Stegostoma tigrinum: one gene and its partner. The protein of the gene in region 1 purifies or fractionates together with the protein of each later gene. This does not show direct contact. Links are inferred from orthologs where the notes say so. Each region holds a gene or a part of one and is shown in the gene's direction. Other genes may lie near its edges.

Region 1 (3,752 bases):
ATTGAATGATGGAGCAGGCTTGGAGCCTGACTGGCCTACTCCTGTTCCTACGTTCACCATATCAGATTCTTTGGATTGTTAGCCAAGGAATAGGTTTTGCTGCTCAGATCACTCACGAGAGCTTCTAGCTCCACTTACAACACTAGCATTGCAGGTTTCAAGAACCTCACATTCAGAAGACAGCATCTCCAATAATCAAAGAATCATTACAGTGTGGAACAGGCCCTTCAGCCAAACAAGTCCACACCAACCCTTGGAGCATCCCAACCAGACACATCCCCCTAAAAACCCATCTAATCTACAAATCTCTGAACACTATGGGGCAATTTAGCATGGCCAATCCACCTAGCCTGCACGTCTTTGGACTGTGAGAGGAACCGGAGCGCCCGGAGGAAACCCACCCAGACACCGGCAGAATGTGCGAACTCTGCAACGACAGCCACCTGAGGGTGGAATCGAACCCGGGTCCCTGGCGCTGTGAGGCAGCGGTGCTAACCACTGAGCCACTGTGCTGCCCCAAACGCAGCACTGCCACGGAACAGTGAGCACCAGGGAAATGTGATCAGGGAATGGGTCAGCACGCACAGGGGCCAGGCTGGAGACCACATTCTTTCCGATCAGGCTGTTTGGAGCTGCGTGAACACAGCAGTCCCAGCAGCATCAGAGGAGCAGGAAAGCTGATCTGGACCCTTTTTCCTCTGTTTGAGAGACATTATTTACACACCTCTGGAGAAGGACAGACTTGAGCTTCTTGGCTCAGATGTGGGAACACTACCACCATGGCACAGGCACATTGCACCAGGGCTCTCCAACACGCGCCTCCTCAGTCAGCGCGGGATTGTCCTCCACGTGACGCGCCGACACCACGTGACGCGCCAGTCTGCGCCCGCCCACGTATTGTCCCCACGTGCCAGCCGCCAGCCGGGGCGGCTCAGTCCCTTCCGCTGGGGGGCGTGGTTAGGCATTTCCCGAGCCTCGCGAGAGTCTCTCCCTCTCCGTCCCACCCCTGCGCGAGAGTTTGTCAGTCGGCAAAATGGCGGCGCAGGGCTGTGCGGAGGAGCATCAGGATCCGGGAGAGAGGCCTCTCAACGGTGACGGCCCCATCCCGGGATTTAGTGACGCGGATAGCTTCGTGAAGGTTGGCGCTGTTGTATGCGGGTGCTGGGGGCGGGATCCCTGTCTCTTCTCCTTCCTTCGTGTGTTCTTCAACACGGAGGAGACATCATCAGCCCAGGGAGGGCGATGGGAGGCCGTCATTAAGATGTGTTCTCTCTCTTGCTGGATCTGTTGCCACGAGACATCATGTGCCTTCACTTCTTCGCCCCCCCCGACTGTATGCACTGTGCTGCCGTCCGACCAGGAGAGCACAACAGGGATGGTCATGAGCGATACATAAATGAAACGTGTAGAGCTGGATGAACACATCAGGCCAAGCAGCATCAGAGGAGCAGGAAAGCTGCTGTTTCTGGTCTGGGCCCTTCTTCAGAAATGACACCTTGTTATCTCAGACTCTCCAGCATCTGCAGTTCCTACTATCTCTGATCAGGCAGCAGCTCAAGATTGGGACGTGACTTTGGCCGTTTCAATTTCTCTGCCCTCGAACCCCACTCCCCTCCCCCACCAAGAACTGACTGCAATTTGTGTTCTCCAATTCAGTCCTGACTTTGTAGTCTAGCCATTGTGGTGCTGCTGTTGTCTGGCATGCTGAGCACTAGCTCTCAGGTGCCTTCCTTCTCCCTCTGGACCATAAGTCTTCCATCCAACATTGGGCTATTGTATTCACAACAGTCATTAACCTTATAAACCAAAAAAAATTGTGGTTGCTGTAAATCAAGAATGAGAACAGAAGGTGCCAGAAAAGCACAGCAGGTCAGGCAGTGTCTGTGAAGCAAAGAATCAGAGTTGATGTTTTGGGTCCATTGACTCTTCCTCAGAACTGATGGTAGCTAGGTTAATGTCGGAGATAGGTTGGATTTGGTGAGGGAGGCAGAGAAATTGAGGTGTCAATATCACGTTGACAGTTCTCCAGGAACAGATCAAACTTAGGTAAAAGACCAGACTGGGCGAAGGGGAGAAGACGCTTGTCTAAAGAAATGGGCATGGAGGCGAAGATGGCAGAAGAAGAGTTTGACGTCATGTCGTGCCTCAAGTTTGTTAAGGTTGGGATACAGAGGAATAAAACTGAGGCCTTTGCTGTGTGCAGAGCATTTAGCATCGGAGATTGGAAGGTTAGGAGGAATGGTGAATACACCTACCTCCTCATACCTCTTTCCAAAAAACCACAAACTGGACTGTCTGGGCAGACCCCTTGTTTCAACCTGCTCCTGCCCTACAGAACTCATCTGTACCTACCTTGACCTAGTCTTCTCTCCCCAGGTTTAATCCCTGCCCACATACATCCATGATACCTCTGACACAGATATACCAACCAGTTCCCAGCTGCGTTCAGTTCTGAAGAAGGGTCATTGAACCGAAAATGTTAACTCTGCTTTCTCTCATCGATGCTGCCAGGACTGAGTTTTCCCAGCAATTTCTATTTTTGTTGTCAATAATTGTGCCGAGGTATAAACTAAATAATTTGTCCTTATCGAAATCGTTAACCCAAGTATTGATTGTCAAGCTGTCATCAGAAAACAGTGTTGGAATTTGTTTTTCAGTCACTTCTTTTTAGTGATTTCATCTAATTGAGCAATTGACTGGGTTAGTTCCAAGAGCAGTCAAGAAGCAACCATGTTTGTGGAATTGAAATTGCATGCAAATTATCCTCAGTAAACATAAACTCCCTTTATTTGTTCAATGGGCTGTGTGTGGTGTTAGTGTCTGGTTGAACTGCTGCACTCAGTGGAGGGGAGGAAGTTAATTACATGCTTAATGGTAGTCTTGCTTCTCTGTTACTGGGATTAGTTTTATATCCCCGATCTATCAATTGATTTTAAATCCACTTAAACCCAAGCCTATGTCTGTGTTTTTGGATTTCTACTCCGCTGATGTTATCATTACACCATCTCTGCCTCAAAGTGATGCCAGAAATACTTTGACTTACTGTAATTGTTTACATTATAAATTATATACAAAACAACAGAGATCATTTCTGACATTTAGTTTATTTCCAACTCCGAGTTCATTTTCTGCTTTTTGAGAGGCAATTGATTGTCATTTGAATCTGAGATCAACTTCCTTCTCATCACCCTATAATTAATAGTGTCTAGCTGAAACCGCTTTGATTTTGTTCTGCTTTATTTTCCACACACATACAAAATAGGAGCAGCATGGGGCCAAAGTGTGGAACTGGAGGAACACAGCAGACTAGGCAGCATCAGAGGAACATCTGAAGAAGGGTTCTGACCCCAAAAGTCAACTTTCCTGCTCATTTGATGCTGCCTGGCCTGCTGTGTTCCTCCAACTCCACATTTTGTTATCTCTGACTCCAGCATCTGCAGTTCTTGCTATTCCAGCAACGCAGTGCCATTTGGCACCTCAACCCTGCTGTCCATTTCAATAACATCATAGCTCATCTGTTTATGTTTTGAATCTGTTTTCCCACTTACTTCCACTAACTTTGAGTTCTTGTAAGGTAAGAAAATCAATCTGTCCCTGCCTTAAAGATATTCAGTGCTCCCACTTACACCAACTTCTGAGACAGAGTTCCAAGTTGTTAAACACTCAAGAGAACAAAATTCTTCTCGTCTGTCCGAAAAGGATAACTCATAATTTTTAAATTCATATCACCTAATTCTCAATTTTCCTACTAG
Region 2 (3,752 bases), on another chromosome or scaffold:
ACATTGCTAAAGGAGACTAAAAGTTGACACTCTCTTGCACTCATGGGAACTAGGGTGAAAGAAATAGACTTGAAAAAAAGGATATGATGTCTCTTTTGCCATAACTGTTATTTGAATCCTGTTTCTGATAAGTACAAGATGAAAAGTTTCTGATCTCCTTCTAGCAATGTTAAGAATAGATCAAGGTAAGTATAAGTCAAGCATGTTGCATAAAGCAAGTTAAAGTTTTATTGCACTTTCCATAATTTTAATGTTACAAAAATTTACTTTGTAAACGTTTTGTGAATAATTTTTGCAGAAAAAGACAGCTCTGGTCAAGTTCCAATCATGTGATCTGGGAGGACGGAAGTTTCTTTATAAACAACATTAACCCAGATGTGTTCTGCTTTCACAATCTCCTTAAGTTGCAGGCCTTTTACCTTCAGTAAGGTATTCATACTCGATGAAGTGATACTTATGAACGTAAGAACAAGATGTGGAGAACCAAAGGATTCAATAGATATTTATTACAGCATCTGGCATCTGCACGTTACAACCACAAACGCTTGTGTGTCTGGGAATAAAGCAACACAATTCAGATGTAAACTGCAGTACAATTCTCTCTGAGCATAATGCTGCAAGAAGACACAGTAAAATGGAGACCGAGAATTTTATACCATCAGGCCCATGCAATGATTTTATGAGAATGTATATTTTTGCAATATTGGAGAGTTGACGACTATGAGGAGCCAGAACGCAAGTAGAGTCAAGGCCTGGGACAGATTGGTCATGAATCCTTAAAGGGCTGAATGGCCCACTCCTGCTTCTATTTCTTCCATTCTGATGCTGTCTCTGTCTCTTGCATCCTTGTTTGGATGAGCGCAAGGTGAAAAGTTTCAATTCAGTGACCCTTCGGGCTCAAAACTTTCAATCTGTTTCTCTCGCCACAGTTGCTGCCAGACCTGCTGAGTTTCTCCAGAAGTTTCTGTCTTCGTTTGAGAATTCCAGCATCTGCAGATCTTTGTTTTATTCCCGTGTTGAAATTTACCTGATCGCCGGGCTCGAGTCTGGATTGACTTCAGGACGCTACCCTCGATCTGAGGCTATACAAATGCACATTGTTGTTTATTGTCCTGGGAGGGGGCTCTACGATGGCGTCACGAGGAGGCGGGCGCAATGGTGACATCGTGCGGGGGTGCGCTGACGTCATAGAATGACTTCAGTGCGTCGACGTTGTGAGAAGGCGGGGTCTGCGTACTGACGTTCGACGTAGCGCCGCGACGCAAGGCAGGCCCAGTCACGTCTTCCCCGAGGAGGGATGGAACGGCCCGCAGCTGGGGCCGTCTCGCAGGTGGTGCTGCCTGGGGATGTGCTTACCTTCCCTCCCAACTCCGGGGATAGGGTCTTGTGCGGGCCCGGCCTGAGGCGACAGGGCTGTGGGCAGTTGTCCGGACATGCTCTGGTGGCCTGCAAGTCCGGCGTGCTCCGGCACAAGGAGCCCTCCGTCTACTGGGTGGAGTCGCAGCAGAAACGGGTGAGGGAGGCGGGTCAGATCTCTTCCCCCACAACGCTCACTAATGAGGTGTCAGGCCTAGGATGGGTGTAATGGGCCCCGGTGTAGGGGATGCTGGAGGTCCCTGTGGATTGTGGGATCCTGGAGGAGTATGAGTCCGGTGCAGTGGAGGTCCAGGCGGTATGATGCTGTGGGCTGGGGACAGTAGGGGAAAGGGGATTACGTTTTTCCCGGGTGGGGGAGGGGTGTTGTGGAAGTCCTGAGGAGTATGGACGTTGGGGGCTGGAGGGGAGGGGGGTACAGTGGTCACAGGTGTGGAGGGACTGGGTACTGGAGTTTGTGGGGTGTGGGAACTGGTGGTGTGGTGCTGGAGGACGTGGTGGGGAGGGAGCAAAAACAAAAAGTGCTGTGAAAGCTCAGCGGGTCTGGCAGCATCTGTGCAGAGAAATCGGAGTTAACATTTCAACAGCGACAGTATCCGCATTTCTCTTAGTTTTTATGGTGTGGAGGGAGATGAACTGGGTCTAGGGATTGAGGAGGGAGCAGTGTAGTAAATACATCAGTGAGACTTGAGTTGCTCTTTAATGAATCATGGCACTTTTACAAACTAATGTGCTTAAGATGTATCACCCATTCCATGGTGTAGGAAGAGAAAATCAACTTCTTATCCTTTGAGCAGTGCTGGAAGTGCAATTAGGTGCATACTGATTGAAGTCCAAATTAAATTCAGCTATTTTATATTCCACCCTGAACCCATCTGTTTGTTTTCTGGTTAGTAAATTGTTTAAGACATGAAAATTCATTCTGATATACAAATCTCCACATCAAATTACTGAGAAATTTGTGCAAGTTAGGAGATGATGTTTGGTCACTTCCCAGATTTATATGTTGAAGTATGTGGGAAGTGCTACTGAAGTTTACAGAAACAGAAATTGCTTGAAAAACAAGGTCTGGCAGCATCTGTGAAGAGAAACTTTTAGTCTCCTTTAGCAATGTTTAATGTATCAGGTCCAGTAATCCTCCTGCAGAACTGAAGCTTTGCCAACTTATTTGCACAGAAGAACTATTTGAATAATTGAGATAACAAAGTATGGAGCTGGATGAACACAGCAGGCCAAGCAGCATCTTAGGAGCACAAAAGCTGACTTTTCATCTAGGCCTGAAACATCAGCTTTTGTGCTCCTAAGATGCTGCTTGGCCTGCTGCGAATATCCCGCACCACACTTTGTTATCTTGAATTCTCCAGCACCTGCAGTTTCCATTGTCTCTGATCATCATTATATTTGAATAATTGTTGTTTTCACTCAAATTCTTGGTAAATTTTTGATTTTATGATGCCTGATGTGGTTCAAAAGCTCCCTTGGGCAATGTGAATATATTTGCCTTAAATAGAATGTAAGAACCAAAAGAACTGTGGATGCTGTAAATCAGGAACAAAAACAAAGTTGCTGGAAAAGCTCAGCAGGTTTCTGAGGAAGGGTCACCGACCTGAAACGTTAACTCTGTTTTCTCCTCCACAGATGCTGCCAGACCTGCTGTGCTTTCCCAGCAACTTTGTTTTTGTTCTTTAAATAGAATGTGCCTGATACCCTGAGAACACTGAACAAATTGGTGATTTTAAGCAGAGATTTCCATTGTTGCCTATTTATTTGCTGCTTGGAGTGCGTTTAAGAAATTCAGCTGCATTTTTTTCCAGAATTTGTAACTATAACTCAGAATTTAATGCCGAGTAAATTACATCGGAGAAGAATTTAAAAGTGTCCTTTTGCATTTTTTCAGTATGTGCCAGCTAAAGGAGAATACGTGATAGGAATTGTGACTGTGAAGTCTGGTGATATATTCAAAGTTGATGTTGGAGGAAGTGAGCAAGCCTCGTTATCATATTTAGCATTTGAAGGAGCTACCAAGCGAAATCGACCAAATGTCCAAGTAAGAATTTTTTGTAAAGTTTTAGTCTTAAACTAATGCTTAAGATGCAGATTAGTTTAGTATTCTGTGTAATTGTGATAGCTCTATCAGAGGTGTTGATGGTTTGGCTTGATGCATGATCAAATTTCTAATCGTTTTAATCCTTCTAAGGCTGATGACCTACCAACTGCAACAAGGTGACCAGGATCATGACTATCACTAATTTTAGGAAAGTTTATGTTTTAGAATTTTTAACCAATTTTGGGTATACATAAATTTTACCAAATACAGATATACAATAGCAAAAAGGCCAAAATCTGGGCATCTGAATGCAGAGCCATAGATTTGACTT

The links. Proteins that work in one complex are often made in the same cells at the same time.
Region 2: the proteins of exosc10 (region 1) and exosome complex component RRP40-like purify together in Homo sapiens (affinity purification with mass spectrometry; 8 studies listed by BioGRID and IntAct, counting the BioPlex papers as one, with this or other methods). This does not show direct contact. The link is inferred for Stegostoma tigrinum from reciprocal best matches to the Homo sapiens genes EXOSC10 and EXOSC3.

What each region holds. Positions count from the first base shown.
Region 1 is NC_081381.1:39,425,840-39,429,591, forward strand, and holds the start of exosc10 (exosome component 10), read left to right. Parts: upstream 1-1,010; 5' UTR 1,011-1,033; coding exon 1,034-1,138; intron 1,139-3,752. UniProt on the Homo sapiens protein: Catalytic component of the RNA exosome complex which has 3'->5' exoribonuclease activity and participates in a multitude of cellular RNA processing and degradation events.
Region 2 is NC_081354.1:15,917,398-15,921,149, reverse strand, and holds the start of exosome complex component RRP40-like, read left to right. Parts: upstream 1-1,235; 5' UTR 1,236-1,297; coding exon 1,298-1,513; intron 1,514-3,271; coding exon 3,272-3,421; intron 3,422-3,752. UniProt on the Homo sapiens protein: Non-catalytic component of the RNA exosome complex which has 3'->5' exoribonuclease activity and participates in a multitude of cellular RNA processing and degradation events.